Anolis sagrei: one gene and its partners. The protein of the gene in region 1 purifies or fractionates together with the protein of each later gene. This does not show direct contact. Links are inferred from orthologs where the notes say so. Each region holds a gene or a part of one and is shown in the gene's direction. Other genes may lie near its edges.

Region 1 (7,020 bases):
GGTAAAGCAACCCCATCCGGATGTCAAGGCGGAAAAAAAGGATGACGTTGGCCACTTTGCTGAACATAAAGATATTTCCCACATGCTGGTCCACAGTAACTTGAAAAACAAACACACAAAACAGATGGTTAGCTCAGGTATCTGCATCATCTGTTAGTCCTGTATAGACTACAGTAGGGATGGACATATCTGCCATGTCCAAAGAACAGGTTTTCCCCTAGGGCCTGCTATAGGCTACTCCCAATGAATTGCTTTTAAAAGAAAGTCAATTGAAAGTGACCATTACTTTAATTGCAGATTTATAAAACAACAAAAACACAGGACTTGTTTGGTGCTTTCAGAAGCAGTATTCTAATTCTGAACAACCACTTCCCCACCTGCAGTGATGGTTTACGGCTGGCAAAAAGTAGCTTGAGAAGGCATGTGTAACCAATGTGGTGTCTTCATCCCATCCTATAGCAAGCGAAAACCCTCAATAATCTGAGTTGAGAGCCATCTTATTGTATTTCGTGAAAGGTATCTGCAAGGTGACTCGTATATTATTTTCATTTTGAATCTCAAATTATATAAATACTTTAAGGATGTCATGCAATTGCTGTACTCTTAGCAATTTACCCTCTTGTGTTAAATACCTTTTTGATAAGTTTTTATATTTCCTTCAGGGAAATATAAAAACCCTATCTCCCCCAGGGGAAATAGGGCAGAATATAAATAAAGTTTTATTATTATTTGAAACACAACAAAGTGAGTCCACAGCAAACAAGATCACTCTGCTGGCTGTTGTATTGGATCCACATCGGACACTTCCTAAGTGTCTAGGACTGTGTGATGTATTGGCGAATAAATGCATGCAAATCCCAGTAGCCTTTTTCAGACGGCTGATGGTAATTTTGTCAGTGCCAATAGTGTTTAAGTGCAGGCCAAAGTTGCTAGGCACTGTACTTATTATTATTATTATTATTATTATTATTATTAAACAATTAGGATCATTTGAGTGGACTTACTGGCAGGTTATTTTCATACAAAGAGGTTATTTCACTCTTTTCAGCTACTTCTATTTCATTTAATTTTCCACGCAGTTTCTGTCTTTACTATTCTCTATCAGCTTCAGGACGTCTTTCATTTGACCCGTTCCATAATGCACTAAGCATTGGTTCATGAAAACTTTGCCTTCTGGCTACCTTATCTAGCTATCACAGATAAGATGTCAGAAACAAAAGAAACAGCAAGCATGTTTCAAAGACACTCCTCTGAAAAGAATGTACAGGGGACCTCACTAATAATATATCTAATGCAGAATAACTAGCAACTTAGAAACTTTAGTTTCTGTGTTGATTTACTGTATGGAGATTATCTCATCTCATAAAATTACACACATATCTCATCCTTGATTAGCGATTGTGTGCACTGAATGGACATAGCCAACTTTTTTAAGAAGAAAGAAAAAGCCTTTAATACAGGTAAAAACTCTTTGGAAAAAAATTCACTGTAAACTCTCTGTTGCAACGGAGTATCTTACTCCAGGGAACAATAAATAACAAATGCAAATATTACTAGGAGTTAAATATATTGAAGCCATAGGATCCTTTCTGATTTTGGAAGTTAATCAACAAACAAGGAATGCCAGGTTCTTCGGGCTATATTTCAGAGGAGGGAACTAGCCGAGCTTTCTCCAAGTCTTGCTTTGTCAGAAAAACCTTCCCAAATTCATGCGGTGTTTTAAGTTGATATACAACTTGAAAGTGCACACAAACACACACAAGTATTACTCACTGGATCTGCGGTTCTTCATCATCACAATCGCACTGAGAAACATCAGAATCTCTACCTCCCGCTAAAAGACAGACAATATATTGAAAGGCAGTATGAATACGGGTCTATAGAAGTTGTTTTACCATAAAATAGGCAAAACATTTAATGGCAGACAAAAATTATGTCATTTAAGTTTTGCTTTCTAGCTGGTTAACAAATATTCATATTTTCTGATCTAATAACACAATTGGAGGAAGAAAAAGAACTTTATTTTTCTACCCAGCCTCCATCTCCCCGAAGGGACTCGGGGCAGCTTACATGGGGCCAAGCCCAAGGCAATATACAATTAAAAACAGTACAATAACAAGTTAAAATTGCATAAAACAGCATAAATAATAATAAATTTGGAGGGGGGGGGAGGAAGTCACTATGCAAACTGGTTAATGGATAGGGTGATATAATAGGTGGATAGAAACATATAGTAGCATAGGAAATAGCATGGAAACAGAGCAATTAAACAGGATCAATTTGGCTTAACTTAAAAATATAGTAATGTAATATAGGAATTCAGATTCAGGTCATGATTTAGGTCAGTTAGTAAGGTTTTTAAAAACTATGCCACAAAATCCTGTTTTTATATATGAGAGGACATTGAGGGGACATAATATACAAAGATGCTCGTGTATGTCAATTTGATAATCTTGACAACTATAATTGAAGTCTAATGTCTTGTCTAATTATATCTTGGATTTTAATCAGGAGTAGTTAATATGGGATCTAATGGATACACTTTTTCTGTTCCATCCACCCTTTCATCCTGATAAGGCCAACACTTTTGAGAGCTAAACGTTTCCCGTCATTCCTTCACTTCTCTGAAAGAGAAGAGGAAGGGGCGGAAAAGGGACTTGGGGAGAACCCCCTCCCTTCTGGCCCACCCATCCCCAAGTTAGAAAGTTAGCCCATGCCTGGTCTAACAACTGAAAAATCGATTGCCAAGTATAAATATATGTGAATACCATTTTTTTTTCTTAAAAGACATACATATTACAGTTTTCCCAATGGGTCAGAATCCAATAAGTAATGACCCTAACAGGTCATAATCCTCCATTTGATTATGTGACCAGTGATTATCCAATAGGAATAAGAACAAAAGGGGACGAGGGAGAGGGTCTTCTCTGTGGTGGCCCCTCGACTTTGGAACTCTCTACCCAGAGAGATTAGACAAATGCCCACCCTGGCAGCCTTCAGGAAGAGCCTAAAGCCTTGGTTGTTCCGGTGTGCCTTCGAGGAATGAACATCAAATTCCCATACCTTAACCAACTCTGTACTTTGACGCACAGTATCTTACCCTTTAGTTGAAATTAATTCCCATTGGTTGTCCCATCCGAACCCCACCAGATGCATCACCCTACTTATCCACCTCACCCAGGGTTTTACAGTCCTACCCGTTGTACTTGGCCCTGTCCATCGGCTTAATGTCTTTGCTTATTTTGTTGTACCCTGTGTTTATTTTATATTATTCTCCTTCTTTCTTTCCATGTATTTTATTGTACTTTATTTTATGTATTATTTTATGTATTGTATGTTGTATTCGTTTTGCTTTGTTGTTTATTATTATTATGATTATTATGATGATGATTGGGGGGCGGGAGGATCCATTCCGCGTGGGGAAGCGAAGCTTGTCGCCGTGCAGTCTCCGCCTGAAGGGCGAGGCGCGAAGGAGAAGGCCCGTCCGCCTGAAGGGGCCTGGGGGAGGGCCTCACCCAGTCGAAGTCGCAGGGGTTCCCGTCCTCGCGCTGGGAGGGCAGCCCATGGCACAGCGGCGGCACTTTCCGCACCAGCAGGAAGGCCGCCGAGAGCAGGAGCGAGAGCGGGTAGTAGGGCTGGGCGAGCCAGCGGCAGATCCCCGGCACGGAGTAGAAGAGCGCCAGGAGGGGCGCCAGCACCGCCATCTTCACCTCCCACTGACCGAATCGCCGCACCGCGCGCCAACAGGTCGCCGCTTAGACCGTTCTTTGACACTCATTGGTCGACGGACGCGTCAATCCAAAAAGGGCGGTTCTAAAGGTGACACCTAGCGCTTCGATTGGCCAACTCCGCACACACCAACGGCTACGGAGACTATAAACAAGAGCGCCTCTCTCCGGCGCATTCTATTGACGTTTCGGCGCCCCGTAAAATTGCATCAAGGGGAAGTGTTGGAACCACCCAATCAGAGCAAAGTCGGGTTTCCAGGGGAGCTAGCCAATCATAGCTAGGAGGCGGGTTCAGAGACCGCCAATGAAATCGGGGCAAGCGCATGGGATTGCCAAGACGCGGAGCCAATAGGTGGAGACTGCGCGAAGCACGCCGGGATGATGGAGAATTTTTCCGCTCTCTTCGGGGCGAGCGAACCTCCTCCGCCAGTTGCGGCTGCTGCGCTGGGCTTCGGCCCGGGGAAAGCGGGCGGGCCCGTGACGGGGCCCTCTCCCGTGCCGGCCGTGGCTCCCATCGGAGAAGAGGCGGCGCGCAAGGCCGCGGCCGCCAGTGGGCCCTTCTACCTGATGCGGGAGTTGCCAGGTAGGGGCCGAGGGAGGGCGGGAGGGAGGCGGGCCCGGGAGGCCCTTTAAGCCAACCAGAAAGGGAGGCGGGCCTTGTGCTCTCAGCCAATGCGGGTTGGCCTTCGTGATGGCGTCAGGAGGGAGCCGTCCAATCGGTGGCCCAGTTGCCCCAGGTGGGCTTCTCCCTCTTCTGTGGGGATTTAATCTCACCAACGGTTAGGCGAGAAGTGATGGGCAGATGGCAGAGCGAATGAGGGAGCAGGGGACCTGGGGGCGGAGCCGAGCTCCTATTTTCTGGCTGGACTTGGCGCTGTAAGACCGGAAGTTAGAGAAGTTCATTGTTGAGAACGTGAGGTCGAGTCTCCCTCGCTGTTTACCCGAATCGAGGACACGTCTGCACGTGAACAGCCCTGGCTCCATTATTATTATTAAACTTTATTTGTACCCCGCTAGCATCTCCCGAAGGATTCGATGCGGCTTACACAGGCCAAGGCCTCTACACACAACATAACAATACAATCTAAGCAAATCAATTAAAAACAGAAAAGCAAAGTAAACCACAGGCACAATACACTAAAACACAATAAAACTGGGCCGGGCCAGAAGGTGGGTACAAAGATTAAAAGTGCTGATGTGACAGGAGGTGTATAAAGGGCGTGATTCCAATGCTGTGGAATCATGGGACTTGTAGTTTAACAAGGTCGTTTGCTATGGGTGCCTCACCAAACTACAAGTCTCAGGATTCCATAGCATTGAGCCCTGGCAGTTCTGGTGTGCCTTCGAGGAGTGAACATCATTCCTCGAAGTTGTCAAACTGCATTCATTTTGGGTTGTTGTAGGTTTTTTCGGGTTATATGGCCATGTTCTAGAGGCATTTTCTGCTGACGTTTCGCCTGCATCTATGGCAAGCATCCTGAGAGGTAGTGAGGTGCATTCATTTTACAGTGTAGGTGGGCCCTGGAAGGTACTTGTTCCTGACCTTAAAGCTTTGTGGTATTTGATCAGTATGTTTACTTGTATTTTGTTATATTCCATGTATGCATTTAAATCCTTCAAAAGTGAAGATTTTTGACCGACACGACAACATTTAGGGCCCTTCCACACAGCCATATAACTCTGAATATCAAGGTAGAAAAATCCCATAATATCTGCTTTGAAATGGGTTATCTGAGTCCACACTGCCATATATCCAAAACAGATAATGTGGGATTTTATTCAGCTGCGTGGAACAAGCCTCAGGCTACACTAATATAATCCAGCTCAAAGTACATAATCTTGATTTTTTACAGCTGTGTAGAAGGGTGCCTAAAGTCCCTTCCACACAGCTGAATAAAATCTAACAATATTTGCTTTGAACTGGGATATATGGAAGTGTGGACTCAGATAGCCCAGTTCAAAGGAATATTGTGGGTTATTCTTCCTTGATATTCTGGGTTATATGGCTGTGTGGAAGGGCCCTATGTTGCAGCAAAAACAACAACCAAAAATTTGAAGCAGATAATCTGGATTTTATACAGCTGTGCAGGAGGGGTCTTAGAAGACAAATCAACATAGACTTTCAGAATACAAAATACTTTGAAATTGTCCACATGGCTGGCAGAGATAGTGATAGCCTTTTAGTACACACAACCATCATAGAAAACACTATTTGAAATATTGTGTATAAAATACATTCAAACTAGAAATAAGAGGTATATATGAAACATAAGTGAATTTCATGTTTAGACCCATTCCTAGGATGTCTTATAATATACATACTTGCAAATAATAATAATAATAATACATCTTTATGTATATCCCACTTTTCTCCCACGAAGGGACCCAACATGTTAACATGCAGTAAAATAAAATACAATAGTAAATACGCAACAGTCAGTGACACAAATGTAAAACATAATAAGCAATCCATAAAATAAACATAAGCAAGCATTTAAAACTAGTATATATTATTGTGGGAATACAGGTTTTCTCAAAACACTTCTGTCCCCAAGCATTTCAGTTAGCAGATGCTCAACCTGTACTACTTTACCCTGTGGAATGGGGAGCAGGAGTTGGGTGCTTCATTCTGTACCTATTGCATGCTTTTTTCTTTTGAAGTTCTACTGACTTTTGGGAAGTTTGTTTTAAAATAAGTAGAGTCATCCCTCTACTTATATGGGACTTAGGGAAACAGCGAAAGTGGAAAAAAGTCAACATCTTTAATAGGGAAGGGAAATAGGGCACCAATGCTGAGATCCCACCCTTCCTCTATGGTGCAAGTCTATTGTCCAGGTAAAGGGAGAATATACTGGGCAGATCAGAAACATGGGAGAGATGGAAGGAGAAATCAGTCCCAGTGGATCTGGCTCTTCCTCTTTCTGTGTGTTCTCCTCCTCCCCCTTATTTTCCTTTCCCTGGGCATAACGAATATTCACAGAATACAGGAAAAGAAAATTATACGTGGGGAATGTGGAGTGGTGTGAGGTGAGCTCCTTCTTTTGCCTGTGCAACACAAGTGTGTTTCCCTCAGAAAAGGGAGATACTGGGTGAAACACAAACTAAATTCCTGAAGATGTGGCTGTCATATGAATGTTCAAAAGAGAGCTTCAGGATGCAGTGATGCTTTAAACTCTCAAAGAGTCAAAGCCGTGCATGAGAAATGTGCATCAACTTCTCTATACTCTTCCAGCTCCCACAGCCCTATGTCCCAGAATATCTGTTTTGAACTGAGTTGTCTGAGTCCACACTC
Region 2 (7,734 bases), on another chromosome or scaffold:
ATTGTCTTTACATCAAGTGTTTTATGCACAAAAATATTATATATAAAATTACTCTCAGGCTATGCGAATCTGTTATATATGAAACATAAATGAATTTCGCATTTGGGCATGGGCTGCACCTCTGAGATAAGCATTATGTATATTTAAGTATTCCAAAATAAAAAAAATAAATCTGAAATGTGGACTATTTCATTTTGGATAAGGGATGCTCAACCTGAAAGATCTGAACCAAAGTGGAAAACGACGTCTTCTCTCACAATTTTTGGGCCACAACTCCCACAATTCCATTTAACAGATGGCCTTTCAAGGCAATCTCTGTCCTCAGTTTGCACTTCCGTTCCATTCCACACTGTTACCCTTCCGGAATGTGTTTCCATGGGGATGGAGCCACAAACCCCAAAGATCTCAGTTCCTATCATGCTCCAGTCTCTGACTTCTACCGCTGGAATGTCATCAAGCCAGGCTTCAAACTCTAGGTCCCATCAGGCACCAAAACAATCCAGAGACCCTTAACTCCAGCTTCCTTTTAAAAAATAATGACAACTTTTCACTACATTAAATAAAAATCTAGGAGAAGAAATATGACTTTCAACGTTATCAGCTGCTATAATTGCATATATTTAATATAATTAAATGGCTGCAACTTTCACTGCTCCAAACTACAGTTCCCAACATGCACCAAAATTACCCAGACACCCTTACCCACAACTTCCTTTTTAATATTTTCCTGTAAAATATAATTACAAGTTTTCACTACAGTGAAATACTCTAGAAAACAAAGGAAAATATTACTTGCAACCTCTAAACGTTTTCCTTGTAACAAATAATTATAACCTTTCACCACATTAAAAACAATCCAGATTTTCTTTCTTTTTAAAAAATGACTTACAACCTCCTTGTCATCATCTCTTGTTGATACATCAATTCTACGGCAACAACTTCCAACCTTTTGTATTTTTTTCCTTTTAAAAATAAGTTTTCACTCCATTGAAAGAATCCAGAAAATAAAGAAACATGTTGCAATCTTTTAACTTTCACTACATTAAAACATCAAGACATAAAAAATGGTTTGCAATTTTCTAATCAGCATCTATTATTGCAAAGACATCTTCCAATCTTTTTTCTTTTTTGAATTTTTGATTTTCCACTACATTAAAAGAATTTACAAGATAAAGAAAAAAATGTACTTTTAACCTAATTAACAGCTATGGGTCCTTTCAGACAGGCCCTATAGTATCTCAAGAGAAGCTCGGCTTGTCATTGAACATCGAGAAAACCAAAGTGCTCTTCCAGCAGTCACCAGTCAATACCTCTCCAATGGCGTAACTTAGAAAATGTTGATCATTTCCGCTACCTTGGCAGCCACCACTCCACAAAAGTCAACACTGACACTGAAATTCAACACCGCCTGAGCTCTGAGAGTGCAGCATTTTTCTGCATGAAGCAGAGTGTGTTCGAGGACCGGGACATCCATAGGGATACCAAGGTACTTGTTTATAAAGCTATTGTCCTCCCAACCCTGCTATATGCCTGCAAAACATGGACTGACTACAGATGTCACATGCAACTCCTGGAACGATACCATCAGTGCTACCTCTGGAAAATCCTGCAAATCTCTTGGGAAGGCAAGCGGACAAATGTCAGCGTGCAGGAAGAAGCAAAGATCACAAGCATTGAAGTGATGGCCCTCCGCCATCAACTCCGCTGGACTGGCCATGTTGTCTGGATGCCTGACCACCCAAAGCAGTTGCTGTATTCCGAACTCAAGAACAGAAAAAGGAATGTTGGAAGACATTTAAAGATGGGCTCAAAGCCAACCCTATGCGGTCAGTGGTTCCCTTGATGTATGACAAGAACACTTTTCCTCTGGGTGGATCTTCATCTTTACTCTCGTGGCTTGTTCTCGGTCTTGCAGCTCTTCTGATGTCTGAGGTGGAGTATCCATTGGCCTGGAGAGCACAGTTGAGGTGGTTCAGTTCATCTTGAAGGAGGTGGGGTTCGCAGATTCTTTTTGCACTGTCTGCCAAGGCTTTAATTGGTGCTTCTTTTTTGACTTGTGTATTTATTTCTCGTGTCAGGGCAGCCAGTCAATTATATTACATTTCTAACAGAACAAAGCAAACAAACAGAGAAAATACAAAATGTGTGAGTTTGGTAGTTGATTAAATGTCCTTTGATCAGTATCTGGCCACTTGGAGCGCTTCTGGTGTTGCTGCAAGAAGGTCCTCCATTGTGCATGTGGCTGGGCTCAGGGTGCATTGCAGCAGGTGGTCAGTTGTTTGCTCCTCTCCACACTTGCATGTCGAGGATTCCACTTTGTAGCCCCATTTCTGAAGGTTGGCTCTGCATCTTGTGGTGCCAGAGCGCAGTCTGTTCAGCACCTTCCAAGTCGCCCAGTCCTCTGTGTGACCAGGGGGGAGTCTCTCATTTGGTATCAGCCATTGGTTGAGGTTCTGGGTTTGAGCCTGCCACTTTTGGACTCTCGCTTGCTGAGGTGTTCCAGCGAGTGTCTCTGTAGATCTTAGAAAACTATGTCTGGATTTAAATCGTTGACGTGCTGGCTGATATCCAAACAGGGGATGAGCTGGAGATGTCTCTGCCTTGGTCCTTTCACTATTGGCTGCCACTTCCCGGCGGATGTCAGGTGATGCGATACCGGCTAGACAGTGTAATTTCTCCAGTGGTGTAGGGCGCAGACACCCCGTGATAATGCGGCATGTCTCATTAAGAGCCACATCCACTGTTTTAGTGTGGTGAGATGTGTTCCACACTGGGCATGCATACTCAGCAGCAGAGTAGCACAGCGCAAGGGCAGATGTCTTCACTGTATCTGGTTGTGACCCCCAGGTTGTGCCAGTCAGCTTTGGTATGATATTGTTTCTAGCATCCACTTTTTGCTTGATGTTCAGGCAATGCTTCTTGTAGGTAAGAGCACGGTCCAGAGTGACTCCCAGGTATTTGGGTGTGCTGCAATGCTCCAGTGGGGTTCCTTCCCAGGTGATCTTCAGAGCTCAGGATGCTTCTCTGTTCTTGAGATGACTTGGGTGATGGTTGGAGTTTTTATGTAGATATCTATCTCTGTGTGTGGGTTTTCTGTAAATGTGTGTATGTGTGTTGGTATGGAGGAGACGTGGTTTTAAAAAGGGATTTTTCAGAGATTTCCCCAATGCCCATATGTCATGATTTACTGCCATATTGGCCTATTTCTGCAGTAGGCCTATATTCACAGAAAATGCTGATTGTTTGAGAAATCAATGCTCCAAAGAAGTTAGTATTCAAGGATAACAGTATATCTGGACAAATCCAGCTAGCTGTTGGCTAGTTAGAACCCCCAAGTTTCCCAGTCACTCTGAAGCCATGTTTGCAACAGGCTAACAGATAAGGTACAGTCATGGTCAGAGAACAATGGACCATATTTATGATATAGTTGTGCCATTGTTAGGATCCCACGTGTGCTATAATGTCAATCAAAATCATAAACAAATAATGAACAACTGCATAGCTAGCTTAGACCAATGAAATGATTTGTCTTTGGGAACCAATGAAAATGTATATTATATTTACTATAAATGCTCTACAGCCCCATTGGGGTTGCGACAAACCCTTTGATTGCATCCCTGTATGCTTGTTTGTCGTTATTGCTATGGCCACGCAATAATAAATAGGTTTTTTTTGCAGTTTAAAGGATTCAACTTTTGTGGTGTCCATCCTTGCCCTCCCTACTGGAAAGGGGGCTTCTGCCTTTTGGGAAATACTGGGTTGTTGTAGGTTTTTCCGGGCTATATGGCCATGTTCTGGAGGCAATTTTTCTCCTGACGTTTCGCCTGCATCTATGGCAAGCATCCTCAGAGGTAGTGAGGTCTGTTGGAAGTAGGGAAAATGGGTTTATATATCTGTGGAATGACCAGGGTAATGTTTCAGCTGATCACCTTGATTAGCATTCAATGGCCTGGAAGCGCCTGGGGGGAATCTCTTGTTGAGAGTGAATTGATGTGCTTGATTGTTTCCTCTCTGTTGTTTTGCTGTTGTAATTTTTGAGTTTTTTAATACTCTTAGCCAGATTTTGTTCATCTTTATGGTTTCCTCCTTTCTGTTGAAATTGTCCACTTGCTTGTGGATTTCAATGGCTTCTCTGTGTAGCCTGACATTTTGGTTGTTGGTGTGGTCCAGCATTTCTGTGTTCTCAAATAATATGCTGTGTCCAGGTTGGTTCATCAGGTGCTCTGCTATGGCTGACTTCTCTGGTTGAAGTAGTCTGCAGTGCCTTTCATGTTCCTTGATGCGTGTCTGGGCAATGCTGCATTTGGTGGTGCCTATGTAGACTTTTGGAAAATATTTTGGTTTCGTTGCCCTTACAGGTATGCAATTTTACCTAACTTTTTGCTGTGGGAGGGGCTGCAGACCATTAGGAGATTTTTTTGCCTTGATATTCTGTGATATAGGGCTGTGTGGACTAAGCCCCCTTCCACACAGTTGAATAAAATCCCACATTTTCTGCTTTGAACTGGAATATATGGCAGTGTGGACTCTGATATCCCAGTTCAAAGCAGATATTGTGAGATCTTCTGCCTTGGTATTCTGTGTGGAAGGGACCAAGCAAACTCCACTTTGCATCTTTCTCTCCGCGTGGTGCATGCTGGGGAAAGTGCTTCACTGGAGGGGCGTGGCCTAAAAGGCCGGTCGGCTTCCACGTGGTGCCGAAGGAGTGAGGAGAGGGGAGGGGCGACTTTACGACAGCGCTCTCCTTTTGCGGCAGTGCCGTATTCCGAGGAGCGAGATACCGGCTCTTGTGGCGCTTGGGGGTCTCTCTTCAGCCGGCTGAGGGAACAAGAAGGAGGAGGAGGAGAAGGAAGAGGAGGAGGAGGACTAAAGAGGAGGAGGAAAGAGGCCGCGGCCCCCTCAGCCTCCGCACCCTTGGGCCTTTTTTCCTTCCTAGCAACGCCGCCGCCCTTTCCTCCCTCCCTCCCTTCCTCTCACCTGGATGGTCCGCGTCGCGGGGCCTCCTCCTCTTCCTCCTCCTCCTCCTCCTCCCCGGTTCCTGAGGCGAAGGCCAGGAGTCCAGGCCTCTGAATGAAGATGGACTATGACTTCAAGGTGAAGCTGACCGGGGAGCGCGAGCGAGTGGAGGACCTCTTCGAGTACGAGGGCTGCAAGGTGGGCAGGGGCACCTACGGGCACGTCTACAAGGCCAAGCGGAAGGACGGGTGAGTGAGTGAGTCGGGCCAGCAGCCTTCTTCCCGGGGTGGAGGCCTGGATGGCCATCCCATGGCCGCCTTGTTTCCATCTAGAGACAGGCATGGGCCAATTTGGGCCCTCCAGGTGCCTTGGACTCCAACTCCCATCATTCCTAACAGCCTCAGGCCTCTTCCTTTCCCCCCTCAGCCAATTTGGGACCTCCAGGTGTTTTGGACTCCAACTCCCACCATTCCTAACAGACTCAGGACCTTTCCTTTTCTCCTCAGCCAAATTGGACTTTCCAGGTGTTTTGGACTTCAACTCCCACCATTCCTAACAGCCTCAGGCCCCTTCCTTTTCCCCCTCAGCCGCTTATGCGGCTGAGGGGGAAAAGGAAAGGGCCTGAGGCTGTTAGGAATGGGTCCTGAGTCCACACTCCCATATATTCCGGTTCAAAGCAAAAAATGTGGAAGGGGCCTTAATTAAATACAAAGCAAATGGAGTTGGGCCTAGCTTATCCGTCTGAACATAGCTCTCCTTATGAACCATCCAGGAATCTAAGATCCTCTGGGGAGGCCCTGCTCTCAGTCCTGCCTTCTTATACATATCTGTATAAATAAAAATATAATGTTCGTTTGTGGGGTTAACAGAACTCAAAAACCACTGCACGGATTGGCACCAAATTTGGACACAATACATCTACTACCCCAAGGAGTGGCCATCACTCAAAAAGCATGGGTTTTGTCATTTGGGATTTGTAGTTCTTGGGATTTACAGTTCACCTACAATCAAAGAGCATTCTGAACCCCACCAATGATGGAATTGAACCAAAGATGACACACAGGACTCCCACAACCAGCAGAAAATTCTGGAAGGGGTTGGTGGGCATAGACCGTGAGTTTGGGGTTTTTAGTTCACCTACATCCAGAGAGCACTGTGGACTCAAACAATGAAGGATCTAGATCAAACTTGCCACAAATACTCCATATGCCCAAATGTGAACACTGGTGGAGTTTGGGGGAAATAGACCTTGACATTTGGGAGCTGTCGTTGCCGGGATTTATAGTTTTTATTGTACTTATATTTTAATGTGTAATGGTGATGCACTATGCTGTTTTGTATATTACTGTATATGAAAACATGTTGTGAACCAGACTGAGTCCCTCCTTGGAGGTGAGAAGACCGGTATGTAAAACTTCTAAATAAATAAATAAATAAATATAAAACTTCTAAATAAATAGTTCACCTACAATTAAGAGCATTCTGAACCCCACAAACGACAGAATTGGGGCAAATTTCCCACACAGAACCCCCATGACCAACAGAAAATACTTAAGGCCATCCAGACTAACTCTCTTCACCAGGGCAAGAAAATCTAATCAAAGCCCTCCTGACAAAGAGACATTCAGCCATAGATATAGATATATATGATTCACACACAGAGAGATATAATATCCTAGATGTGAAAGGGACCCCTAAAGAAGGACAATAATATGTTGCATGTTCCAGAATGGGCAAATCAGATACTCTCCACTTCAACACTGACAAAGAAACAGCAAGAAATACTGTTTACCCACAAGCAGAAAGACATTACATATATTAGAAACCATTACTTTATTTTCCAGATCACCAGACTGGGCAACAGCAACGCGTGGCAGGGGACAGCTAGTAATATAATAATAACTTTATTTTTATACTCTGCCAACCATCTCCCCTAGGGGACTCGGGGCAGCTTAAAGGGACACGCCCAAGATTACAATTGAAACACACATGTAAAACAATTTAACCATTCAAAACATCAAATAAAACAAATAGCGACACAATTGAAAGCAATATCAAAAACAATACGGCTGCAAGAAACATAACTGAGGTACAGATTCAATGAGTGCAATACATTTTTACAGGAGTGCAGGAAAGTGCAAAAATACAGTCAACTGGGCAGGAAATACTGTCATAAAGCACATTGAGGTAGAACGTATGCCAGTGTAAAATGCGGGCCGGTGTAAAGTGTGGAACTTCAAGTAGAGACAAGAAAGTTACTGGTGAGCTGCTTAGTTCACAGATTCGTTTGGCGGGGACGAGAGACAGGGCCTTTTCAGCGGTGGTCCCTCGGCTGTGGAACGCCCTCCCTAGGGACATTAGATCTGCCCCCACCCTCTTAATATTTCGCAAAAAAGTTAAAACCTGTTTTTTTGAGCAGGCTTTCTCAAATGCAGTGTAGCAGACAAACCCTGATCTCGGAACGACTGGACAATGCAATTGGAGAATTATTTTGGTAATGAGATGCAGAGGATCTATGTTTTTATCAGTTTTATTATTTACTGAATTTTATTTATTTATTTAAAACATTTATATTCTGCCCTTCTCACCCCCAAGGGGACTCAGGGTGGGGCACAGCATATATATGGCAAACATTCACTGCCGGGACACAAATTCTTATATACATACATAAACATTAAAAACATTTATCAAAATTTTAAAGTACACCATTTAAAACAGTCCTAGTCGTCCACATCAAATCTAATTTTCCTGGTCATCTTTCCTATTGCCACTTTATTG
Region 3 (7,302 bases), on another chromosome or scaffold:
ATTCATTTTCATGGTTTATTCCTTTCTGTTGAAATTGTCCACATGTTTGTGGATTTCAATGGGTTGTGTAGTTTGACATGGTAGTTGTTAGAGTGGCCCAGCATTTCTGTGTTCTCAAATAATATGCTGTGTCCAGGTTGATTCATCAGTACTGCTGACAGGTCAATGGTTCGAATCTGGGGAGAGCGGGTTGAGCTCCCTCTAGTTCTCCATGTGGGGACATGAGAAAAGCCACCCACAAGAATAGTAATAACATCAAACATCCGGGCGTCCCCTGGGCAATGTCCTTGCAGATGGCCAATTCTCTCACACCAGAAGCGACTTGCAGTTTCTCAAGTCACTCCTGACATGGAAAAATAAAGTATGGTGATATAGTATTACTGTAGTTAGGCTTATTTTAATAGTAACTCTCAAGCAACCAGAAACTTAGCACCAACCAATCCACATGGATTCTGGTTAATTGAGAGTTTACTGTACACACACAGAGATCATCATCATCCATTATCAGTGTCTGGGTTAAACATTAATGGCCACACTACCTTTTATACTTTGTGGGGAATGAGCCCCGAACGATGATCAAGGGTCTGGAGAACAAGCCCTATGAGAAGCGGTTTAAAGAGCTGGCCATGTTTAGCCTGAAGAAGAGAAGGCTGAGAGGAGACATGATACCCATGTGAATAGAAGTCAATGGGAGGAGGGAACAAGCTTGTTTTCTGCAGCCCTAGGATGCGGAACAATGGCTTCAAATTACAAGAAAGGAGATTCCACCTGAACATTAGGAAGAACTTCCTGACTGTGAGAGCTGTTCGGCAGTGGAACTCTCTGCCCCGGAGCGTGGTGGAGGCTCCTTCTTTGGAGGCTTTTAAAGAGTGGCTGGATGGCCATCTGTCGGGGGTGCTTTGAATGTAATTTCCCTGCTTCTTGGCAGGGGGTTGGACTGGATGGCCCATGAGGACTCTTCCACCTCTATGATTCTATGATTCTGTGAACCTATTATCCACCTACAGAGATGCGCACTCATCCTAATCTGTTTCTCACAGTTGTTTCTTTGGACTGACATGGATTTTCAGGTGGTGAAAATATATGAATGGTTTGAAACAAGCACATATCACACTGATTCCCCAGTATAGGCACTTCATTAAGCTCAGTCAGTTATGTGGCTTAGTTCTTCTATAATTTAACAATACCATTGCACTTAAGAGCAGGCAGGTCTTTTAAACACTCTCTGGGAGCAATTTATAGATGAAACGAAAATCTATCTCTAGGCCATGTTAGCAACTCTGGGTATAAAACTGGGTGAGCTAGTTCTTTCTGATTCAGACAGTGTGGCTATGATCCTGTGTATTCGAGAGTGTTTGTAGAACATTGTGTACTGTTTCCCTTCTCAACTGGGATATAAAATTCTCACAACATTATCCCACAGGGACCATCTCATGGGGAGGATGTTGCTGCTGCCAATGGAATCACATCTTTGACAGAAGATTATATTGATAGTGATGACAATAACAACACAGTGAGCCCTCAGTATCTGCTCAGGATGGTTCTAGGACCCCTATGGAGACCAACATCTGTGGATGCTCAAATCCCATTACATACAGCAGTGCAGTAAGAGAGCATCCCTTATATAAAATAGCAAACACTGTAGAATTAATGCACTTTGTGATTACAGTACTTTATCTGCCAGGGCCAAGTGTTATAGAATCATAGAAACTTGTTTGTTTAGGAACCAACACACTGGCAAAAAAACCAACAACCTTAAAGTCCTTGTAAAACTATAACTCCCATGTCTCCAAAGCATTGCATTAATTCCACAGTGTAGGCTGTTATGAATTGTGGGAGCTGAAGTCCAAAACACCTGGAGGGCCAAAGTTTGCGCATGCTTAGTATAGATGCAGCCTGATGATCCATGAAATGGTAAGAGATAACAGCAGGGCATGTATACACATCAATGTAGTGCTCAAAAGTGCAACAAAATCAAAGTTTGCTTTTTGGATTATTTCCCCTCCAAAATATTTCCAAGTTATGAGTGGTCCAATCTGTGGATGCAGAATCTAAGAGATGACTACCATATGAAGAACAATTAAGATAAACATGATCATATTAATACAGTAGACTTTCCGTTAACCGGAACTCTCAAACAACTGACAAAAAATGAAGAAATAATACTGTGCTTTAACTAAAAATTAAGACCCTCCAGTGGTGCAGTGGGTTAAATCACAGAGCTGCTGAACTTGCTGACTGACAGGTCAGCAGTTTGAATCCAGGGAGTGGGAAGGTCCACTCCGCTCCAGTGGGAAGGTAACAGTGCTGCATGCAGTCATGCCAGCCACATGACCTTGGAGGAAATGTTACATCAAGGAGGTGTTTCTGTGTTATGTTATGTTTAGGTAAAGGTAAAGGTTTCCCCTGACATTAAGTCTAGTCGTGTCCGACTCTGGGGTGGGAGAGGAGTGGTGCTCATCTCCATTTCTAAGTCAAAGAGCTGGTATTGTCCATAGATACCTCCAAGGTCATGTGGCCAGCATGACTGTATGGAGCACCCTTACCTTCCCACAAAAGTAGTACCTATTGATCTACTCACATTTGCATGTTTTTCGAACTGCTAAGTTAGCAGAAACTGAACCTAACAGTGGGAGCTCACAACCTTTCGGTCAGCAAGTTCAACAGCTCAACGGTTTAACCTGATGCACTACCAGCGGGCCTGTGTTATGTTTATTTAAGTTTAATTTTTGGGTTTTATTTTGATAGTTTTATAATTTTATGTTGAGATTTTTATCCACTGTTTTGATTTATTGTTTGTTTGTTTTTGGCACTGAATGTTTGCCACTTTGATACTTTTGCTGGAAACTGCCCTGAGTCCCTTTGGGGAGATGGGGTGGGTTATAAATAAAGTATTATTTTATTATTATTATTTATTTTTAATTACTGCATTTCAATATCAATAACAAGCCAATCCAGAGTTTATGATATAGTATATTAGTTAGGCCGATTTTTAATAATAACTCTCAAGCAACCAGAAACTGCACTTATCCAGCATCTACCAATCCCCCCTGGGTGCCAGTTAACCTAGTCTACTGTGTTGTTGTTGTTATTGTTGTTCTTGTTATTTTGGATTTAATTACTGCATTTCAACCTCAATGTCAAGCCAACCCAGAGTTTATGATATAGTATAATATTAGTTAGGCTGCTTTTTAATAGTAACTCTCAAGCAACCAGAAGCTACATTTATCCTGCATCTACCAATCCCCCTGGATTCCAGTTAACCTAGTCTATTACATTATTATTATTATTATTATTATTATTATTAGTTTTTAATTACTGCATTTCAATATCAATATCAAGCCAAGCCAGAGTTTATGATATAGTAAAATATCAGTTAGGCTGCTTTTTAATAGTAACTCTCAAGCAACCAGAAACTACATTTATTCGGCATCTATTAATCCCCTTGGGTGCCAGTTAACCGACTCTACTGTATTATTATTATTATTATTATGTTTTAAATTATTGAATTTCAACATCAATATCAAGCCAAGCCAGAGTTTATGATATAGTATAATATTAGTTAGGCTGCTTTTTAATAGTAACTCTCAAGCAACCAGAAATTGCATTTATCCAGCACCTACTGATCCCTCTGGGTGCCAGTTAACCTACTCTACTGTGTTGTTGTTATTATTTTGTTTTAATTACTGCATTTCAACATCAATATCAAGCCAAGCCAGAGTTTATGATATAGTATAATATTAGCTAGGCTGATTTTTAATAGTAACTCTCAAGCATCCGGAAACTACATTTATCCAGCATCTATTAATCCCCTTGGGTGCCAGTTAACCGAGTCTATTGCATTATTATTATTATTATTATTCGTTTTTAATATCAATATCAGTTAGGCTGATTTTTAATAGTAACTCTCAAGCAACCAGAAACTGCCTTTATCCGGCATCTATTAATCCCCTTGGGTGCTAGTTAACTGAGTCTACTGTATTAATAATGACAAAGCTTGCAGTGAAACTTGGCCTAGGTTGAAAGAGCGGAACGCTTGCAGCTGCAGGGAGAGGAGGGAATAAGATGTTCTCTCCCTCTGTATGTAGGTCCCCTTCCCCTAGGTACACCCCCCTCCCCAGAACATTGTATACAATGTGTTCCTTTCCTCCCCCTCCTTTCTCTTTCTTCTTCACTTGCTGCTGGGCACTTCTGTGGGGGTGGCATCCTTAGCCTCCGTGGGTGGGTGGGTTGGGTTGCATTGGTGCAGCAGCATCCCAGCCCTTGCCCCCCTCCCTCCCTCCCTCTGTGCCTGCCGTCTTCCCTGTAGGGGGAAAAAAGAGCCAGAGGGGGAAGCCAGCTTGTCTGTCTATCTCTCTCTCTCTCTGCCTGTCTATCTGTCTGCCAGCCAAGTGCTGCTCCCTGGTGCTCAGAGCCTGCTCCATCTCTCCAACTCTCTCTTCTCTCTCTCTCTCATTCATTTCGCCGGCTAACATGCAAGATCATGGCCGCCTTCGGGCTCCTGAGCTATGAGCAGAGACCCCTCAAGCGGTCCCGCTTGGGCCCCCCCGACGTCTACCCGCAGGACCCCAAGCAGAAGGAGGTGAGAGACCCCTGCTTTTGGAGACCCCTCTCCTTCCTCCTCCTCCTCTCCCGGCCTGGGGCGCACCTGGCTGGCTGGCACCTGAGAAAGGAAGGGGGAGGGAGGGAGGGAGGCAATCTTAAAGGGAGGGGCAATGGGAAGATGGAGGGGTGTGTGTGTGTGGGGGGGGGGGGGCTGCCCAGTGAGCCCCCCCCCCCCGAAGGGCGCTGCTTCTAGCATGGGAGCCATTCTGCATGACTTTGGCAGCAGGGCGCCCTCGTGGGTGGGTGAGTGGCTGGGTGAGCTGCATGCCTCTCTATGGGTCTGACGCACTCCCCGCCCCCTCTTCCATCTTCTCTCTTTCCCCACCCCCCTTTTTACCCCGAAACTTTTGAAATATGCCAACGTCGGGAGAGAAAGGCACTCTTCCCCTCCACAAAGGTGGCAGCCCTTTTGGGCAAGGAGGGGAAAGCCCTTTGACACTTTGGGAGGGGGGATACTTGGAGACTCCCCCCCCCTTTTCTCCCTTACACATGTGGGAAACTGACCTTGGTTCCTCATTCCCTCCCTTTGACAGGACTGTATTGAACTAGGCATTCTCTGAGCAGGTAGCCTTACTACACAAACTCCATGGACTAATTAACTTAAAAACATGGGGAGACGTCAGCCAAGGGTCCTGTTTTCTAAATGCACCACTCAAAGCAGACAACTTTAAGGATCTCTTTGTCATTATGACACGTTGAGTATCCTTTATCCGGAATCCCAAAATACTCCCAAATTGTTCACATAGGTGGCTGAGAGAGTGGCATCTCTGCTTTTGTATAGTTCAGCATATACATTAGGCTCTCAGTTCACCAGCATCCATGGGGACTGGTAGGTGCCAGATTAATGTTGTTTCTTGTTGCTTGAAAGTCCCTCTTAGATTTAGACCATGCCATAAATCAGTGTTTCTCAACCTCCTTAATGCCATGACCCCTTAATACAGTTCCTCTTTTGTGGTGTCCCCCAACCATAACATTATTTTCCTTGCTACTTCGTAACTATAATTTTGCTACTGTTATGAATCGTGCAAATTTCTGATATATAGGATGTATTTTCATTCACTGGACCATATTTGGCACAAATACCCAATACACCCAAATTACAAAACTAGTGGAGTTGTGGGGGTGGGGTTTAATGTTGTTATTTGGGAGTGATATTTGCTGGGATTTATCAAAGAGCATTCTGAACTCCACCAAAGAGGGAATTGAACCAAACTTGGCACACATAACTCCCATGACCAACAAAAAATACTGGAAGGGTTTGGTGGGCATTGACCTTTGTGTTTAGGAGTTGTAGTTCACCTACATCCAGAGAGCACTGTGGACTCAAAACAGTGATGGATCTGGACCAAACTTGGCACAAATACTCAATATGCCCAAATGTGTACATTGGTGGAGTTCGGAGAAAATAGACATTGACATTTGGGAGTTGTAGTTGCTGGGATTAATAGTTGAGTTATAATCAAAGAGCATTCTGAACCCCATCAACGAGAGAATTGGGCCAAACTTCCCACATAGAACCCCTATAACCCACAGAAAATACTGTGTTTTCTGATGGTCATTGGAGACCCCTCTGACATCCCCTCATGACTCCTCAGGTTGAGAAACATTGCCATAAATGCTTCTTGATTTGATATTTAATATTGAAACACAGTAATTCAAAGCAAATTCAGGCAAACTTAACATAGAATCATGGAGTTGGAAGACACCGCATGGTCATCCAGTCAAACCCCCACCATGCAGGTAAAGCACAATCAACATTGGGTTGCTGTGAGTTTTCTGAGCTGTATGGCCATGTTCCAGAAGCATTTTCTCCTAATGTTTCACCCACATCTATGGCAGGCATAATCAAAGGTTGTGAGATCTGTTGGAAACTAGGCAAGTGAGGTTTATATATCTCTGAAATACCCAGGGTGGGAGAAAGAACTCCTGTCTGCTTGAGGCAAGTGTGAATGTTGCAGTTGGCTACTTTGATTAGCATTTAATGGCCTCAGGCAATCAACATGCCAGAAAGATAGCCATCCATCCTCTGCTTAAAAGCCTCCATGGCAGGAGCCTCCAACATACTCCAAGGCAGTATAAAACATGTATTTAAATTGTTATGTAAAGTATTATTTCCTTGAAGTTTTGGCATGTTACTTGAGACTTCCAGTTTTTAAAGTTTCAATTAGCCAAGAGTCTGCTATATTCCAAAACTGACAATTTAGAGGGCTGAGATAGTGGCACCTTTGCTTTTGGATAGTTACGCATATACACACTTTCTTTCATGCACAGAATGATAAAAAATATTATATGAATGTACCTTCAGGCTATGCATTTGAATCAAGCATTCGTTCTGTATTTGGGTCCCATCTCCAAGATAAGTCATGATGAATGTGTATGCAAATACATGTAAACCAAAATCTGGGGGGCAAGTCTGAAATGCAATGCATTCCTGGTTCCAAGTATTCTCCAAGCAGGTAGTGCCAGTCACTGACTAGTTGGCTTGGAAAGTGGGAAGATGCTAGCAAAAGGTCCTGATTTGTTTTACAACATATCACTGAAACTTTTAGTACTTGTTTGTTATTACAGGTTGAGCATCCCTCATCCAGAATTCCAAAACACTCCAGTATTGTCTATATGGGTGTCCAGTGGAGTTGCACCTCTGTTTTCTAATAGTTTAAAATACACAATTTTTCTTTATGCACAAACTTATTAAAA
Region 4 (7,558 bases), on another chromosome or scaffold:
TATTTGAGAACACAGAAATGCTGGACCACTCTCACAACCATCATGTCAGATTATACAGCCATTGAAATTCACAAGCATGTGGAAAATTTCAACAAAAAGGAGGAAACCATGAAAATGAACAAAAACTGGCTACTAGTATTAAAAAAAACTCTAAAATCAGGACAGTAAATAAAGAACAACACTCAGAAAACAGAGGAATTCCAGACATGAATCAATCAGGGCCAGCTAACATCTTCCAACAAAGGATTCCCCCAGGCAGGAAGCAGCCAGACCTTGAAGCCGAAAGGCTTTTCAATGCTAAACAGGGTGGCTAATGGCAACATTCACACCTGCCTCCAACAGACAAGAGTTCTTTCTCCCACCCTGAGCATTCCACAGATATACAGGGTGCGGCAGCATAACTTCCTTTTTTAAAATGCGTGCCATTCAGTCGGTTGAAGACGTAGTGGAGCGCTAGTGGTCTCGTTCGAGAGGCGGGAGTATAAAGTTTTGTCCTGACACAGTTCAGTTGCTATCATGCATTGGAACAGTGAGGAGCGTGCTTTTGTCGTTGAGGCCTACTTTTCGAGCGGATTTGGAGTGGCCGGCCCGCTCTCCAGATTTGGCCCATTGTGATTTTTTTCTGTGGGGTTTTTTGAAATCCCGTGTTTATGTGAACCGTCCAAGGACCCTCCAAGATTTGAAGACCAACATCCAGGAAGAAACTGCCAACAGAACGCCTGCTATGGTGGCAAGAGTCAGCAACACTAGAAATCGGTTTACTCAGTGTTTGGAGAATGGGGGATGTCACCTACCTAATTTGATCTTCAAAACTACGTAAAACAACACTTTAGGTATGTGCCTACACTATAAAAAAAATAAAAAAAATCTGATTCATACAATGGGTTTTATTAAGTTTTGAAAAAAGGAAGTTATGCTGCCTCACCCTGTATAAACTCCAATTACCTAGTTTCCAACAGACCTCACAACCTCTGAAAATGCCTGCTGTAGATGTAGGTGAAATGTCAGGAAAGAATGCTTCTGCAACATTACCCTACAGCTCAGAAAACTCACCACAACCCAGAGATTCTGGCCATGAAAGCCTCCAGCAACACAATGATGAATCATTTGGAAAGCTCTGGTTGTGAGAGTGACTGGAGGAGAGGAGAAAAAGTTGGATGCAGACCAATCACCACCTTCAAAGAAGTCCTAAATCGCATGGTATCTACAGGAAATAATCAGAAATAACCTTGTTCTCTGCTGGGACCTGAGACCTATGAAGGGTTCTCCATGTCCTGTTTGCAACGCTTGGCTGCCAGGTCCTCATTGTGGGCTTTGCGAATGTGCCGGTAAAGGTCGCCGGACTGCGTGTAGCTCCGCATGCAGTAGCGGCATTCGTAGGGCCGTTCCCGTGTGTGGACGGTGGCGTGGCGCCGGAGTGTGTAGGAGCACGAGAAGGTCTTCCCGCACGTCTTGCAGGTGGGCACATCGTCGGTAAAGATGCCGAAGCTGGAGTGGGACTCGAAATCCGGCAGGTACATCTGTTCATGGAGGGGCGGCGTCACCATGTTCGAGAAGCTCTGCCCGCCAGGCATGGGGATCATGTGATACGGGAGGTGCTCTTGGGACAGGAAGCCGCTTTCCGACGTCACTTCGTCTATCCCAGCAGGGTCTTCAAACGTGTCCAAATGGCGCCCACATCTTCCAGGGAGCGCTGTCTCTGAGGCAGACCTTTGGAAGATGCTTTCCAATCTGAACTCTGCGCCCTGTCCCTCCAGTTGCTCTGTCGCATCAGACTCCTCGTCGGAAATCACAATGGCTTCCACTTTGACCTTGACAGACGGCCGGTTTGTTTCCTTCTGACAAAATGTGTCTGTCCTTTGCTCCAAATACCCCTCTGGAGCGTGGTCTGTGTTAGAAGAACCTTCATTTGCTAGAGAAAAGCTATTGTGTGGGATTGTTTCAGTGGAACTGCTGGGACTAGAGAAAGAAATGTCAATCACGGGTGCTTGTGGTGGCTTTGTTGGCAGCGTGATTTCCATGCCTGGCTGCGTTGTATCTGCCACATCCAAAGTAGAGGCCGCAGTTTCCTCCAAAGCAACCTTCTCTCCTCCTTTCCACTCCTCTTTTTTGTCACTGTCTTTCTGACACAGGGATGGCAATGGGAAGGGCTGAGGCTCAGGCATCGGAGGCTGAAACTTGGAGGTACTGGGCAGAAGTTCTGAATTGCCCGGGGCCTCCTCTTCCCGCTTGGTGCTGTCCGCTTCAGTCAACGCTCGGGCCTGAAGCTTCTTTTTGCACACCTTAACAATGTCATTCATGTGCAGGTAGCTGGCCGCTGCCAAGACATCCTCGACTGGCATGTCGTTGAAAGACAGGCTGCCTTTGTACATGAATTCCAGCAAGAGTTCGAATGCCGGGGCAGTGACGATCTCGTTGTTGATGGACACCACGTCCCGCTTGTCCAGGCGCTCCTTGTAGAACATGTGGAAGAAAGTGCTGCAGGAGGCCAACACAGCTCGGTGGGCCAGGAACTGGGTACTGCCCACCAGGACGGTGCAGTCGCACAGGAAGCCATCATGCTGCTGCTCCCACAAGCTCCGCAGCACGTTCTGGCTGTGGTTGGGGAACTCCATGCCGAGGCCTCTCTCACGGTCGTTGGGCGTTCAGTGGCATAGCTCAGCCTCCTTTGGGACAGCAAGAGAAGACACTTGGTAACTTTAAATAATAATAATAATAATAATAATAATAATAAATAATAAACTTTATTTGTACCCCGCTACCATCTCCCCAAGGTGCGGCTTACATGAGGCCAAGCCCGAAGTACATCAAACAAACATCAATAGCACAACATTAATCAACAATCAATAAAATACAAATCATATAAATCACATAACAAAAACAACAATCAATAATGACATATTAAAAATGGTCGGGCCAAATGTAATAGATTAAAATTGAGAATATGCTGATGTGAACAGGTAAAATGTAACTGGGGTCGGATTTTTCAGAGAGAAACGAGGGAACGCAATCCATCCTAAGTCAGTATTTAAGAAATTACACTGCTTAGCCGGTATTGCACCACCTGACATCCGCCGGGAAGTAGCAGCCAATAGTGAAAGGACCAAGGCAGAGACATCTCCAGCTCATCCCCTGTTTGGATATCAGCCAGCACGTCAACGACTCAAATCAAGACATAGTTTTCTTAGATCTACAGAGACACTCGCTGGAACACCCCAGCAAGCGAGAGTCCAAAAGTGGCAGGCCCAAACCCAGCACCTCAATTCATGGCTGATACCAGATGAGAGACTCCCTTCTGGGCACACAGAGGACTGGGCGACTTGGAAGGCACTGAACAGACTGCGCACTGGCACCAAGAGATGCAGAGCCAACCTTCAGAAATGGGGCTACAGGGTGGAATCCTTGGCATGCGAGTGCGGAGAAGAGCAAACCACTGACCACCTGCTGCAATGCAACCTGAGCCCTGCCACATGCACAATGGAGGACCTTCTTGCAGCAACACCAGAGGCACTCCAAATGGCCAGATACTGGTCAAAGGACATTTAGCCAAATACCAAATTTGCAAAATCTGTGTGTTTTTTTCCCTTTTCCCTTTTTAATCTCTGTGTTTGTTTTGCTCTGTTAGAATTGTAATACAATGGTTGCTGATGACACGATAAATAAATAAATTAAAGTGCATTGTGAGGACATATTGCTGAGAGTTCTCCTTATTCTGGGAAGGCACGCCGGAACAACCACGTTTTCAGGCTCCTCCTAAAGACTGCCAGGGTTGGGGCATGCCTAATGTCCCTGGGGAGTGAGTGCCAGAGTGGAGGGGCCACCACCGGGAAGGCCCTCTCCCTCGTCCCCCCCCAAGGGCGCCTGCGAGGGCGGTGGGAGCGCGAGTAGGGCCTCTCCAGGGGAGCGAAGAGATCCTGTGGGTTCGGACACAGAAACAGGCCGTTTGAAGGGCCTGACCCAGGCATGGGCACACTTTGGCCCTCCAGGGGTCTCGGCCTCCAACTCCCACAATTTCTCTCAGCAGCGGCCTGTGGTTCGTCCGTCCAGTCACTTCCGATGCTTTTGTGGCGTCGTGGGCCCCCATTTCCCCCCATCTCTCAGCCCCCACGAGCACCCCCAGCCGGCTCCCCCCGCCCCCGCCCTGCCCGAGACCTCCCTCGCCCCAGAAGGAAGAGGCCCCCTTCCCAGCCCCGACACGGTGCCAGCAGCGCTTCCCTCTCTTCCGACGGGGCGCGCCGGGCGGAGAGGGAGCCCCTCGATTCCCCCCACTTACCCACCACAAAGCAGAGGCCCCGAGGGACACGCCCCTTTCGCCTGATTGGCTGGCACTCTCTGTCACTCTCCGCGACAGCCTCTCTTCCTCCCCCCCGCCCCCTTCGCGGGAATGTTTTCTCCTCCATCTGTCGCTCTTGAAGGGGAAGGAACTTGCTGCGTTCTGTCTCGCCATTGGTCAAGAAATATCACCATCTGTGTCCTACATTCCGATTGGAGAAGCCTCCTAGCGAGGTGAAACGTCACTCACTGTGAGTTTGCAACGGTTCAAATACGAAGGGATCACGGGAGAAGGTGCTGTTCCTTTAAGGAGGAGGGCGCTCCGACCGGCGCAGCCAATCAGGAGGAAGCTGGTTTACAGGAAGGGAAAAGGTGGCTGTTGGAGCTGGGAGCATGTTTTATCATGTAAGTTAATGGCCGGAGCTGTATTTAAAGCATCTAAACGACTAATGTATTGTCGAAGGCTTTCATGGCTGGAATCACTAGGTTCTTGTAGGTTTTTTCGGGCTATAGGGCCATGTTCTAGAGGCATTCTCTCCTGACGTTTCGCCTGCATGTATGGCAAGCATCCTCAGAGGTAGTGAGGTCTCTTAGAATTAGGACAATGCGTTTATATATCTGTGGAATGGCTGGGGCAAAGAGCTCTTCTCTGCTGAAGCTAGGTGTGAATGTTTCAGCTGACCACCTTTATTAGCATTTGACGGCCTGGCTGAGCCTGGGAAAATGTTCTGTTGAGAGGTGTTAAGATGTGCCTGGTTGTTTCCTCTCTGCTGTTTTGAATTCGACAAGAATATGGCAAGCTGGCTGCATGCTTATTAGGAGTGAAATTGGGTGCATCTACATTGCAGAATTAACCCAGTTTGACCCCACTTTTGCTGCAATGGCTCAATGATATGGAATCCTGGAAGTTGTAGTTTCCCAAGGCCTTTACTTTTCCCTGCATTGAGCGCAGGCAGATAAAGTAGGGTCAAGCTGCATGATCAGCATGACCCTACTTGACCCAGGAAGTCATGCTCCCCATGCTCTATTCTGCTTTGGTTAGACCACACCTGGAATATTGTGTCCAATTCTGGGCACCACAATTCAAGAGAGATATTGACAAGCTGGAATGTGTCCAGAGGAGAGTGACTAAAATGATAAAAGGTCTGGCGAACAAGCCCTATGAGGAGCGGCTAAAGGAGCTGGGCATGTTTAGCCTGAAGAAGAGAAGGCTGAGAGGAGATATGAAAGCTATGTATACATACATGAGAAGAAGCCACAGGGAGGAGGGAGAAAGCTTGTTTTCTGCTTCCTTGGAGACTAGGACGCGGAACAATGGCTTCAAACTACAAGAGAGGAAATTCCATCTGAACATGAGGAAGAACTTCCTGACTGCGAGAGCTGTTCAGCAGTGGAACTCTCTGCCCCGGAGTGTGGTGGAGGCTCCTTCTTTGGAAGCTTTTAAGCAGAGGCTGGATGGCCATTTGTCAGGGGTGATTTGAATGCAATATTCCTGCTTCTTGGCAGAGGGTTGGACTGGATGGCCCAAGAGGTCTCTTCCAACTCTTTGATTCTATGATTCTATGATTATCTTGATACGACTATTATAATGTAATAAATTGTATGCTCATATAATATTGATTGTAATATTGTAATACAATATAATAATATAATAATAATGTATTATATATTACATTTAATATTACTAACAATATTACAGTATAGTCATACAGTACAAAATAGTAATATATAATACTAATATTGTGCTATGCTAATAATATAATATATTGTATGTACATATACTTTGTAAGTCGCTCTTAATCCCTTTTGCAGTGAGAAGGGTGGGATATAAATGTCATAAATAAATAATAATTTTTGGTGGGCATTTTAAAAAAATAATTATTGTATAATACATAGAAACGTGCCATCTTTGAAATTAACATTCAAAATACCAGTATTTTCCCCAATCCCACCACCACTACAACCCCATCATAAATAAATAATAAATAAATATTGGGTTGTTGCATGTTTTCCGGGGTATATGGCCATGTTCCAGAAGCATTCTCTCCTGACATTTCACCTGCATCTGTGGCAGACATCCAGAGGAGCTCACAACCTCTGAGGATGCCTGCTATAGATCCAGGCAAAACATCAGAAGAGAATGCTTCTGGAACATGGCCATACAGCCCGAAAAACACACATCAAGCTAGGATTCCGGCCATGAAAGCCTTCTATAACAAATAAATATTATTATATTTATCATTAAAGAAAAGAAAGGTTTTCACCTGGTTTCATGGAGTCAAAAGGAAGACTGCCCATTAAATATGCTGCCTACATATTCACAGGTATTGTGTAAGCATCTGAATGCCAATTGCTATAGGGAAACATCAGGGGATGATGTTTGTGAGTCTCCAGGAGAATGTGACTGGCTCTTCCTTATGCCCTGAAGTAGTTGGAGTTTTCTCTGAACTGTTTAAAGTTCTTGTTATTTATTTAGTGGGCGCTAACCCCTGTATTCTCTTCCTCCAGATATCTTTGGAGCATGAAATTTTGCTGCATCCACGTTACTTTGGGCCTAACCTCCTCAACACTGTGAAGCAAAAGCTGTTCACCGAAGTGGAGGGGACCTGCACTGGAAAGTAAGTAAAAGTGGCTAGAGATTATCTTTTCCCATTGAACTTGCTTGTATTATTATTATTATTATTATTGACAGCTCTGCCCAGATAATTGAACAGTTTTGTGTGTGGGTTATCTCCAAGGCCACTACTTGGGTTTTCAAGTAGAACGGCATTAAATCATTATGCCCTCTCCTATAATTATTATTAGTATTATTTGATACACAACAAGATCTGTACACAACATACAAAATCACTATGCTGGCTTTTGTATTCAATCACATGTTGTACACTTCCCAAGTGTCTACGACTGTGTGATGTATCAGTGAATTATGTGTGCAGATCCTAGTTGGGTGGCCTTTTGCAGCTGACAGATGGCAATTTTGTCAGCTCCCGATTGTTTTTAAGTGCAGGTCAAGGTCTTTAGGCACTGCACTCAATGTGCTGATCAACACTGGGACCACCTTGACTGATTTGTGCCAGAGTCTTTGCAGTTTGATCTTTAAATCCTTGTTCTGTGTAAACTTTTCCAGTTGTTTCTCATGAATTCTATTATTATTATTTGTTACCTGTAATTAAAGCACACAGGTAAAACACAACAGCATTTAAATACATACATTAAAATACATAGGACGAAAATTAAAACACAAATACCAACACAGATAGTTCCCAAGTTACAAAGAAAATTCTGT

Evidence for each region.
Region 2: the proteins of MED19 (region 1) and CDK8 purify together in Homo sapiens (affinity purification with mass spectrometry; 8 studies listed by BioGRID and IntAct, counting the BioPlex papers as one, with this or other methods). This does not show direct contact. The link is inferred for Anolis sagrei from reciprocal best matches to the Homo sapiens genes MED19 and CDK8.
Region 3: the proteins of MED19 (region 1) and MED12L purify together in Homo sapiens (affinity purification with mass spectrometry; 3 studies listed by BioGRID and IntAct, counting the BioPlex papers as one, with this or other methods). This does not show direct contact. The link is inferred for Anolis sagrei from reciprocal best matches to the Homo sapiens genes MED19 and MED12L.
Region 4: the proteins of MED19 (region 1) and POLR2G purify together in Homo sapiens (affinity purification with mass spectrometry; 3 studies listed by BioGRID and IntAct, with this or other methods). This does not show direct contact. The link is inferred for Anolis sagrei from reciprocal best matches to the Homo sapiens genes MED19 and POLR2G.

The regions. Positions count from the first base shown.
Region 1 is NC_090021.1:234,311,602-234,318,621, reverse strand, and holds the start of MED19 (mediator of RNA polymerase II transcription subunit 19), read left to right. Parts: upstream 1-4,009; 5' UTR 4,010-4,106; coding exon 4,107-4,311; intron 4,312-7,020. Other genes in the region: TMX2 (thioredoxin-related transmembrane protein 2), read right to left, coding at 1-99, 1,774-1,834, 3,516-3,704. UniProt on the Homo sapiens protein: Component of the Mediator complex, a coactivator involved in the regulated transcription of nearly all RNA polymerase II-dependent genes.
Region 2 is NC_090023.1:30,600,384-30,608,117, forward strand, and holds the start of CDK8 (cyclin-dependent kinase 8), read left to right. Parts: upstream 1-4,734; 5' UTR 4,735-5,070; coding exon 5,071-5,204; intron 5,205-7,734.
Region 3 is NC_090023.1:241,543,354-241,550,655, forward strand, and holds the start of MED12L (mediator of RNA polymerase II transcription subunit 12-like protein), read left to right. Parts: upstream 1-4,289; 5' UTR 4,290-4,483; coding exon 4,484-4,582; intron 4,583-7,302. UniProt on the Homo sapiens protein: May be a component of the Mediator complex, a coactivator involved in the regulated transcription of nearly all RNA polymerase II-dependent genes.
Region 4 is NC_090032.1:12,908,783-12,916,340, reverse strand, and holds the start of POLR2G (DNA-directed RNA polymerase II subunit RPB7), read left to right. Parts: upstream 1-4,546; 5' UTR 4,547-4,665; coding exon 4,666-4,677; intron 4,678-6,780; coding exon 6,781-6,890; intron 6,891-7,558. Other genes in the region: ZBTB3 (zinc finger and BTB domain-containing protein 3), read right to left, coding at 1,254-2,615. UniProt on the Homo sapiens protein: Core component of RNA polymerase II (Pol II), a DNA-dependent RNA polymerase which synthesizes mRNA precursors and many functional non-coding RNAs using the four ribonucleoside triphosphates as substrates.